Linked DNA regions of Sus scrofa. The protein of the gene in region 1 interacts with the protein of each later gene in a pairwise test. Links are inferred from orthologs where the notes say so. Each region holds a gene or a part of one and is shown in the gene's direction. Other genes may lie near its edges.

Evidence for each region.
Region 2: the proteins of MYPN (region 1) and ANKRD1 interact in a two-hybrid assay, tested with the Homo sapiens proteins (2 studies listed by BioGRID). The link is inferred for Sus scrofa from reciprocal best matches to the Homo sapiens genes MYPN and ANKRD1.

What each region holds. Positions count from the first base shown.
Region 1 is NC_010456.5:71,297,601-71,301,958, forward strand, and holds the start of MYPN (myopalladin), read left to right. Parts: upstream 1-1,283; 5' UTR 1,284-1,371; intron 1,372-1,941; exon of another isoform or gene 1,942-4,358. UniProt on the Homo sapiens protein: Component of the sarcomere that tethers together nebulin (skeletal muscle) and nebulette (cardiac muscle) to alpha-actinin, at the Z lines.
Region 2 is NC_010456.5:102,609,948-102,614,515, reverse strand, and holds the start of ANKRD1 (ankyrin repeat domain-containing protein 1), read left to right. Parts: upstream 1-1,677; 5' UTR 1,678-1,737; coding exon 1,738-1,764; intron 1,765-2,426; coding exon 2,427-2,606; intron 2,607-3,485; coding exon 3,486-3,623; intron 3,624-3,745; coding exon 3,746-3,853; intron 3,854-4,568. UniProt on the Homo sapiens protein: May play an important role in endothelial cell activation. May act as a nuclear transcription factor that negatively regulates the expression of cardiac genes. Induction seems to be correlated with apoptotic cell death in hepatoma cells.

The sequences.
Region 1 (4,358 bases):
TTTTACCCTTAATTTTTTTCCCCCAAATACCACAGAAACATGAACTTTTAAATATGTACAGCAGTTATGGGCACCGCCTTAAGAGTTAACCTTAGATTTAAGCCTGGCTCAGTCACTTACTCATCGTGTGACCTTGGAGTTTTTAACCTCTTTCTAAGCTCCGGATTCTCATGGCAAAGTAAGAATTCTAATAGTACCTACTTCACAGATTGTTGAAGGAATATGTAAAACAAAGCACAATGTCCATAAAGAGCTTAGCATAGTTCCTAGCATATAGCTAAGGAATGTTAACTTATTTCTACTAAGATGATAAGTTTAGATGTGCATTAGTACATTTTATATATACACACACACACACACATATATATATATTTGCTTTTTAGGGCCATACATGAGGCATATGGATATTCCCAGGCTAGGGGTCCAATCAGAGCTGAAGCCGCCAGCCTACACCACAGCCACAGCAACAGCAATGCCGGATCCTTAACCCACTGAGTGAGGCCAGGGATCGAACCCATGTCTTCATGGATACTAGTTGGACTCATTACCGCTGAGCCACAAAGGGAACTCCTACAACCATTACATTAATGTGGTGAGCAATGGAAATCAACTGTGGGTGCAGGATTACACACCTGATACTAATTATCTTGGATGTCTTCAGTAACTTAATGTTAATCATAGATGCTCTTTAAAAAAAACCCAAAAAACAAAAAAACTAAAAAAACCCCTCTGGGAATAGATTTTCTTCTAGAAATAATACTTCCTAAAAAGTATAAATTTTGATATGTCCTTATATCAAACGCACAATAAAGGAAGCCTTACTGTGCTTTCATGGAAGCCACATAGTAAAGCTTTAATCTAATCCCCCCAAATGGGGGAGCATATATTAAGTTCATAATAATTGATAATTTCCCCAGATTTACTTCAATAAATATATCAACCATACACTCAACTTTGTATTAAGTGAAGGTGTTTACATGTGTCACATGCATCCTGCACACAGATATTTTGTGCATCCCTTATGTTTTATTCTTTAAAGTGTCATCATTATTACCCTTTTCATCAAATCTAAGGAGAAATCAAGTTAAGTCTTTTCCTTAGTCATCTTAGTCATTATCCACCCCCACCACCCATCCAGGATAAGAACATCGTGCAGACTGAGTTATTAAAGTGGATCCAAAAGAGCAATCTGTTCTAAATGACTGTCCCTGGATCTGCCACGGAACCCTGTAAATACCCTTCATTACTCTGGCGGGGCAGTATCACATTTCCTTCATGCTACTTTTGCGGCTGACACAAGTTAGGCAGTGAGATTTGGGCTTTGGATGTTCCTGGTTGATTGATATAAGGATGGTCTTTCTCCTGGGACAGGTAATCACAAATTTACTTTTCAGGATAAAAAGTATTCTATTTAGAGGGTTTTAAAAATGATTTTAGTTTTTAAAACTAAATAGGTTTTGAACTTAGAGCTTTTAACTGCTTTTTAGTTTGAGTTTTAAGCAAGTGGTTTCACTATCATTGAAACAAGAAAGACCTTTCTCAAGGATTTAAATGTAGTTCTCAATTACATGGGATCATGAGGTTTGTATAAGATCCTCTCTAATCCACATACATATATTGTTTTGGATGATCACGACCTTGTCTCTGGTGTATTCTTCTCATTAGCAATGTTTAGAAAATAATACATGTCTCTGTTCTTTAAAAATAAAATATAGGGGATTGTTGTTTTTTTCTTGTGATACTGGGGGGGAATAACTCAGTATAAATCTATGAACTTTAAGCAAAACTCATTGAAAATTTGGTAAATGTAAGAAATTTCTTTTAAAGAATAAAAATCTATAGCAAATGGGAAAAGAGCAAATACAAAAATTTAACCTGAATCTTAGTAGCACAGAAATTCTCACATGCTTATCCTCCAAGTGAAGACTTCCTCTGTCATAGATCTTCCAGATTCCTTGGCATTCCTGTGGATCACCCCAATGTGAGTAAATTGTTTCTATAGCTGAGTGACTGAATTAAGAAAACAGCTGAGGGCAAGCACAGGATCATGTTCAAGCCACAATGAACACGTGTTAGATGAGCCACTCAACTTTATGGGTTAGGCTTAAGGCATGTAAGCTTGTGTTTACTTGTCACTTATGGAATTTGTTTCTAACTATGTTGGATATATTTTTTCTTAAGTTTTAAAAATTATTCTTTGTATCAGTAAAGTCTGGTAAAATCTAATCTAGTAGATTTGTGGTGTAATACTTATACAATTACTAAGACGATACGCAAAGTAGGAGTTGCACTACTTGGGAGCAGAAACTAATTCTAAAAAAACTAGAATCTAGAATGCAAGTTTAATGTAGTACAAACAAGGTGTCCACAGTAGCTGAATATTATTTACTTAAAATGTTTATATCCAGCTCTTTTTCAAAGAGCTCAAAAAAGTTTGTACACTATCTGCATTTGAAAACATTACAGTAAAAATGAAGAGAAAGATGACTGCTATTCAGACATACTTGGGGTCCTTCTTCTGCAAGTCTTTTTTTTTTTTTCCCATTTCAAACTGATTTTAATTCTTCCTATTGATTCCTAATTCCATTGCCCAACCAACTGTATTTTATCTTTCAGTATGTATCTCCTGCCACCTCAGTATTCTATACCTGGGTGAAAGGTAGGATACCAGGCTTATCATGCGACAGTTTGCAGGGAAGTAGAAATGGGTTCACTTACAGTGTATAGAAGCATTTTCCTTTGGAAAACCAAATTTGTTAAATGAAGTTCCACTTTTCCATGTCCTTATTCAAGACTTAGCAGCACTTATGTTGACCATACCGCAAGATCTGAATAGGACAGTAGGGGAAGATTCTCTCTTTAAACAAAAAAATAAATTGTTGGAGCATGTACATACATAGAAAACACAGAAACACAACTAAGTAGTCTTTTAGTTTCAGGGCAGGATTAAGTAAGAGAGCAAACAAGCCTGTACACTGAAGATATAGCTTATGCAGTAATGAAAGTAACCTACCCATATAACTCTAATCCAATAACCTATCCATATAACATATCCATATATCCATATCCTTGTGCCCTCTTCCCTACTCAGGAATAGTTCCTTTGACCTGTATTATTTTCAAGTTTTCCTCAATACTCTTTTTCATTTTGCCCATTTCAAAGTTCCTAAACAGAAGGTATAGTGAAGTTTCTGATGTGATCATAATAAACAAATTTCATATCTATTCGATATACTGCAGGGAGTCTCACAGTAACTAAAAAAGGTAGAAAGATTTCTTAGTAAATGCCATGAGGTCAGGAATTGGGGTATATTTTGTGTACTGCTTTATATCCAGTACCTAGTACACAGTAGGCATAGGTAAATATTTGTCCAATGAATGAATGGGAAGAAATCCTACAAGCAGTTGTGTGATTTAATTAAGAAAGCTTGGGTTAAGCCAATGTATTTCATGCTATTCAAATCTAAGAATGATCTTTAAAAAAAACCAAATGACCAATGGCATTTATCTGATTTTTTAAAACACAGGCTTATTCCAAGATTGAAACAATAGGGTTAACCTTTTTTTTTCCAAATTAATACTCTGAAAATGCATGAAATTTATGTCAAAGAGCCTATACTTTTAACAAGGTAGATTTTGGGGCAGACATTGGTTTGGTTAAGGATTCTTTTTCATTGTTTGGTAATGCTTATGAAAGAAGAAATCTGGCATAGATTTTTTTTCAAAAATAATATACAAAAAGTTTATTCCAGGTACTACGAAATAACTAGCTGTTGTAATATGTTACATTATATAGTATTTTGACTTTTAAACAGTATCCTGATTAGTCTTTTTCTGAAAAAGTTATCCAAACTCATTTGTTACTGGGTTTATTCTCAGGCTGACGGCTTTCTCCTCTCCATTTTTTCTGTGATCGCTAATTAACAACTTTTTTTTTCTAGTTAACAACTTTTAATGTTTGTTATCGTCTGCTTTTGCTTAACCTTTGGACAAACAGTTCGAAAAACTCTCAGCTTTAAAATATTAGAACTTAGCTCCATACTGGCTTTTCATAGCCAAATTTCCTAAAATGTATCAGTGATTTAATGAGAATCAGTTTCTATTCCTTAAAACTAATTTCCTGAAAAGTTAAGGGCTTTGATATATTTTTAAAATAATGCCTCTTTTTTTGGACAGATGGAATGTGTTCTATAATGAATTCAGTATTTACTTCAAACACAAGTCAATAAACAACCTGGGCCTCTAGCTGTAAGTGAAATTCTATAGGAAGAAAAACCGATTGACCCCCACTGCCCATAGGTGCTGTCCTGCTGTGGAATCCCTTTGCTCAGTTTTCTCCTATCCAATCAGGTGGAATGT
Region 2 (4,568 bases), about 31 Mb from region 1:
TGCTTGAACTTGAGGGCACTAACAGCTCTGGGATTTGATATTCAAGATGCTTAAACAACCCATGACACTTCCCTCAAAAATACCTCCATAGTTCCCCTCAGTTTGGGTCAGGCCTGAAACAAAAAGGTGTAAGAAATGGTAGGAAAAGCTTCAATGACGACTTCTTACTTAGATAAAGAGCCAATGAAAATGGCAATAGTTGTCTCTACCTCAAAGGAAACACCAGTAAATTTCCTTTAAGTAAAACTCCTTTAGGATAGAACATTAGGAGACCAGAACAGACACACAGGAGTTGTTGGGAGGGTCCTTCTTCACCAGCCCTTTGGTTTTTTTTTTTTTTTTTTGGGGGGGGGTGTCAATATCTCATTCTGAAAGTTCCAGAAAAATCATCCCTGGGCTGCTTAGTTCAAGGAGGAAGAGAATGGCAGCTGTGTTTGTTGAGTGGGTACATTTGTGGGAGTGACGGACACAGAAAGGCCAATGTAATATCCTAATTAACACACTTCTCCATTCCGACTCCCTTTCTCTCACTCTGCCCTCCTTTCTTTTACTGAAAAACAAAGGAGGGGTTGTTTAAATGGCTATGGAGATAATAATTCCAGTATCTCCTTGAACTGTAAGGAGACCTAAATATTTTTACATAATTTAACACCTCAGAGATGAGAAACCAGAAACGGATTTTCACCGCACCTCAAAGCAAAGCTCTCAGCTCCTATGCAACCTGTCTCAAACCCTGATGCATCAGAATTGCTGAGTGCTTTGAAAAAAATACAGATTCCTAGGAACTCACCATAAAGCGACTCAGAATGTCCCACAGTGGGGTCCAGGGATGTGTCTTTTTGACAAGCTCCGACAGGTGAGTCTTTTATCCACAGCACCTGAGAACGCTGGCTCTCTGATCGAATCAAGGTCGTACCATAACTACATAGGTTGTCTCACACAACCTATCTCAAGACATTTCAGAAACTTTTTGAGTACTACTTGCTCCAGTAAGTATGCTGTTTTAGAAGGCAGAAAGCATGTCATGTGCTAATTATGGCCAGTGACACCATAAAACAGAAGTGCGTTACTGAATGCTTTCAATTTCTTATAATGATGGTAGGTGGCATGTCATGGGGCCTTTTTAGCCCCAGACATCACTCCAGAGAATTCCAAACAGATATAGACAAGGGCCATTAGGACCCAGATCCTTTCCTCTTGGGCTGTTTGCCCACGGGAATAGGATGTCCTAAAGCAACACTTCCCCCAAGTGACGTGTTGATAAGTCTGGTTATCAGAAAGATATTATTGGGGGTGTGATACACGGGGCATTTACATTTTCCTGATAGGCTTGGTCATATGAAAGCTGACAAAGAAGGAAAAGGAGCAGCGGTGTGGTGCAATGTCAACAGACAGCTGTCCCCTGGCTTCCCGATAAATAGGATGACTTGCATTGCTGAGCGGTGCGGTCACTGACAAAGGAATGGCCCTCTCACATTTCTTCCTGATTCACATATTCAGTGGGGTTACTTGCCCTCCCCTCCCTCTCCTGCTTCCCAGACACTGAGTCTGGAATGAGAATTCACCTGCCTCTGAGTTGGCCACAGGAGGGGGCGGGCTGTTACTTGGGTTCCCAGGTTGGAAGATTATCTCACCCGGCCCTAGCTATATAAACTGACGGCAGTGGAGGGGCTCCCAAGGGCTGACTCCAGGGTTCATCCCCCAGAAGAAAACCATACAGACGAACTTCAGGTCAACATGATGGTTCTGAAAGTAGAAGAGCTGGTATGTAAGGCATTATTTTACACAGTGGAAAACAGTGCAGCCTTGATTTTTATTTGAAAATTGAAATGCCCTTTTCTTTCAGGCATAATGCATAGGTACTCTGAATGTGTCATATATGGAAAATGGTTGGTTTATGTGGTGAAATAAGTGAAACTGGAAAAGATGGAGTTGCCAGGAATGAATTCTCTACCTACTTCCTATTTATTATCTTCTTCGGTTTTCTTACTAAAGTGTGGAATCACATATAGTTATCCAAAATGCCTTAGGGGAGAAGTTCTATTGCAAGAATATATATCTGGAAGCTACTACGCAAGGCAAGGGATCATCAAAAGTACCTAAAATGAAAGAATTTTAAATAATCTCGGGGTGGGGGGAGGTTGTTATGATTTTGCTAGGAAAAAATGTGATTAAGTGGATTAAAAGTAGATTTAAATACATCAACCTAACCTAAACCTTGATTTAGCCAAGACAGGAGGACAAGCATTTGAAGATAATCCCAGAACACTGAAGCAAGGCATCGCGGCCTGCCATCTGAGAGTGTGGGGCATGGAGGCCACTGTCAGCAGAGAGGGAGGCCCAGGGGCTCTCGCCGCATCCTCTGTGGAGAACGACCCCAGGACAGGCCCTGCTACTTCTGACCCTGCTGTCTCCTTCCCTTGCAGGTTACAGGGAAGAAGAACGGCGGTGGGGATGCTGGGGAGTTCCTTCCTGAGGATTTCAGAGATGGAGAGTATGAAGCTGCTGTCACTTTAGAGAAGCAAGAGGACCTGAAAACCCTTCCGGCCCACTTTGTGAGCCTGGGAGAACAACAGTGGAAAATTGAGAAAGAGCGCGAGGCCGAGGTAAGGACCGTCCATGAAATTCACCAGAGGGAGCTTGGAGGTGGAGGTGCCAGGCAGGAAGGAGAGGAGAGAGACAAAGTGAATGCAACCATTCCAATGACATTTCTTTACCAAATTCGAACCGATAAAGAGGCAACTTCAATGGGAGAAGCTGTAGGAAATAATTCTTTGGCAAGACTATGACCTCTGGATTCAGAATCAATCACTGAATGTCCTATAACCATGTTCTGACTGACAGACTCAGAAAGAGAAACGTGTCCAGTGAATTCCTGATGTCATATACTGCCAAGTTAATCCCAAGCAAGGGAGCCTCCTTTTTCTCACTGATGTGGTTTGTGGTCATTGTGATCACTCTTTGACTGTGGCCTCTTTCTGTGCTGACAAATGTATTGCTGGGTGAACTTTCATTACTTACTAACCACAGATGAAACATGCATTAGTGAGCTGTAGTTCCTGGGACAAGACCGTCTGTTTCATGAGCTCTGCTTAGTGGGGCACCTGAGAGACACTGGCATTGACATTTTAGAGCTTAAAACTTACCACTGGAGTCTTCTGAGTTAAAAGAAAAATCATGAGCATTATAGAAATAATTACAAAATCATCACTTAGAGACTAGATCCTATCTCTAATGAAAAGTTCATGCTTCAAGCATCGAGATGTGAAGATGAAGGCAATTAGCTGAAAAATTAGACCTCAAAATACCTGAATAAGAAATCACTAAATTGAAGTCAAAGACTTATTTTTAATTTTTTTTACTTCTTATTTTTCTGCTCACACCGTTCACATACCTAGCTTGGATCTTAAAGATTTTGTTTAGACACAAGCAGAATGCTTGTCAGTAGAACTCACTGTATTCTGAAACATGGATTTCTTTTTTAGCTCAAGAAGAAGAAACTAGAACAAAGATCAAAGCTTGAAAATTTAGAAGACCTTGAAATAATCATTCAACTGAAGAAAAGGAAAAAATACAGGAAAACGAAAGTTCCAGTTGTGAAGGAACCTGAACCTGAAGTCATTGTAAGGGTTGTCTGGTTTTGCAATATTACGCCTCGGTGTTATGCTAAGAGGAATGTCTGTTGGGGGGTTTGACTGAATGTTGGAAGCTCATGGTAACCTTCACCCTGTGTTTCTGGCTTTAGACAGAACCTGTGGATGTGCCTAGGTTTCTGAAAGCTGCCCTGGAGAATAAACTGCCAGTGGTAGAAAAATTCTTGTCAGACAAGAACAATCCAGATGTCTGTGATGAGGTAAGACTTCTACAAAGCACTGCAAAATCCAGCTCATTAATTTTGTGCTTCTTATGCTTTCTTGCAGCCTTGCTAATCTGGTGCCAAAAAATCAATCCACCTGAAACAGTCTCCCCAGCTGTTGCCACATATGCCAGTAGCTTTAACAGGAGAGTGCAGTGGTCCAAAAAGAGAAAATGCTGGATTAGCGCTATGGACTGCATTATTTTTTGCACTCTCATATACTTCTGACTGATTTTTCAGTTTATCTTTAATTGTTAGATCTTTGGGATAGACGTTTAATAAGGCAGGACTATTGAGTCCCCATTAGAGACATATATTATTAGAATTATCTTTTGAATCAAATACATCATCAGCTCTACACAGGGAATCCACAGACTGAAGTTTAAGTGCTGTCTCTAACACTATTTGCCTATTCGATTTTTAGCAGCCAATGTGCATCTTCTAGACCTCAGTTTCCTTATCTGAAAATAGAGGGCACTGGAGTGAAATAATGCCTCAAGGTGTTCCAGCACACACAGTCTATTAATTCATTTATATGAAGCATATTTACCAGAAATTACTAATCCTTTTTGTATCCTTTCCCCCATGAATTGAAATGGGGGATCATTTCTGAAGTTGAACTAAAAATGTCTCATATTTTTGTGAAAATGAATTGAATACTTTCTGATATCCAACCCAGCAACAGTCCCAGATGGAAGAAAACTGCCTGAAC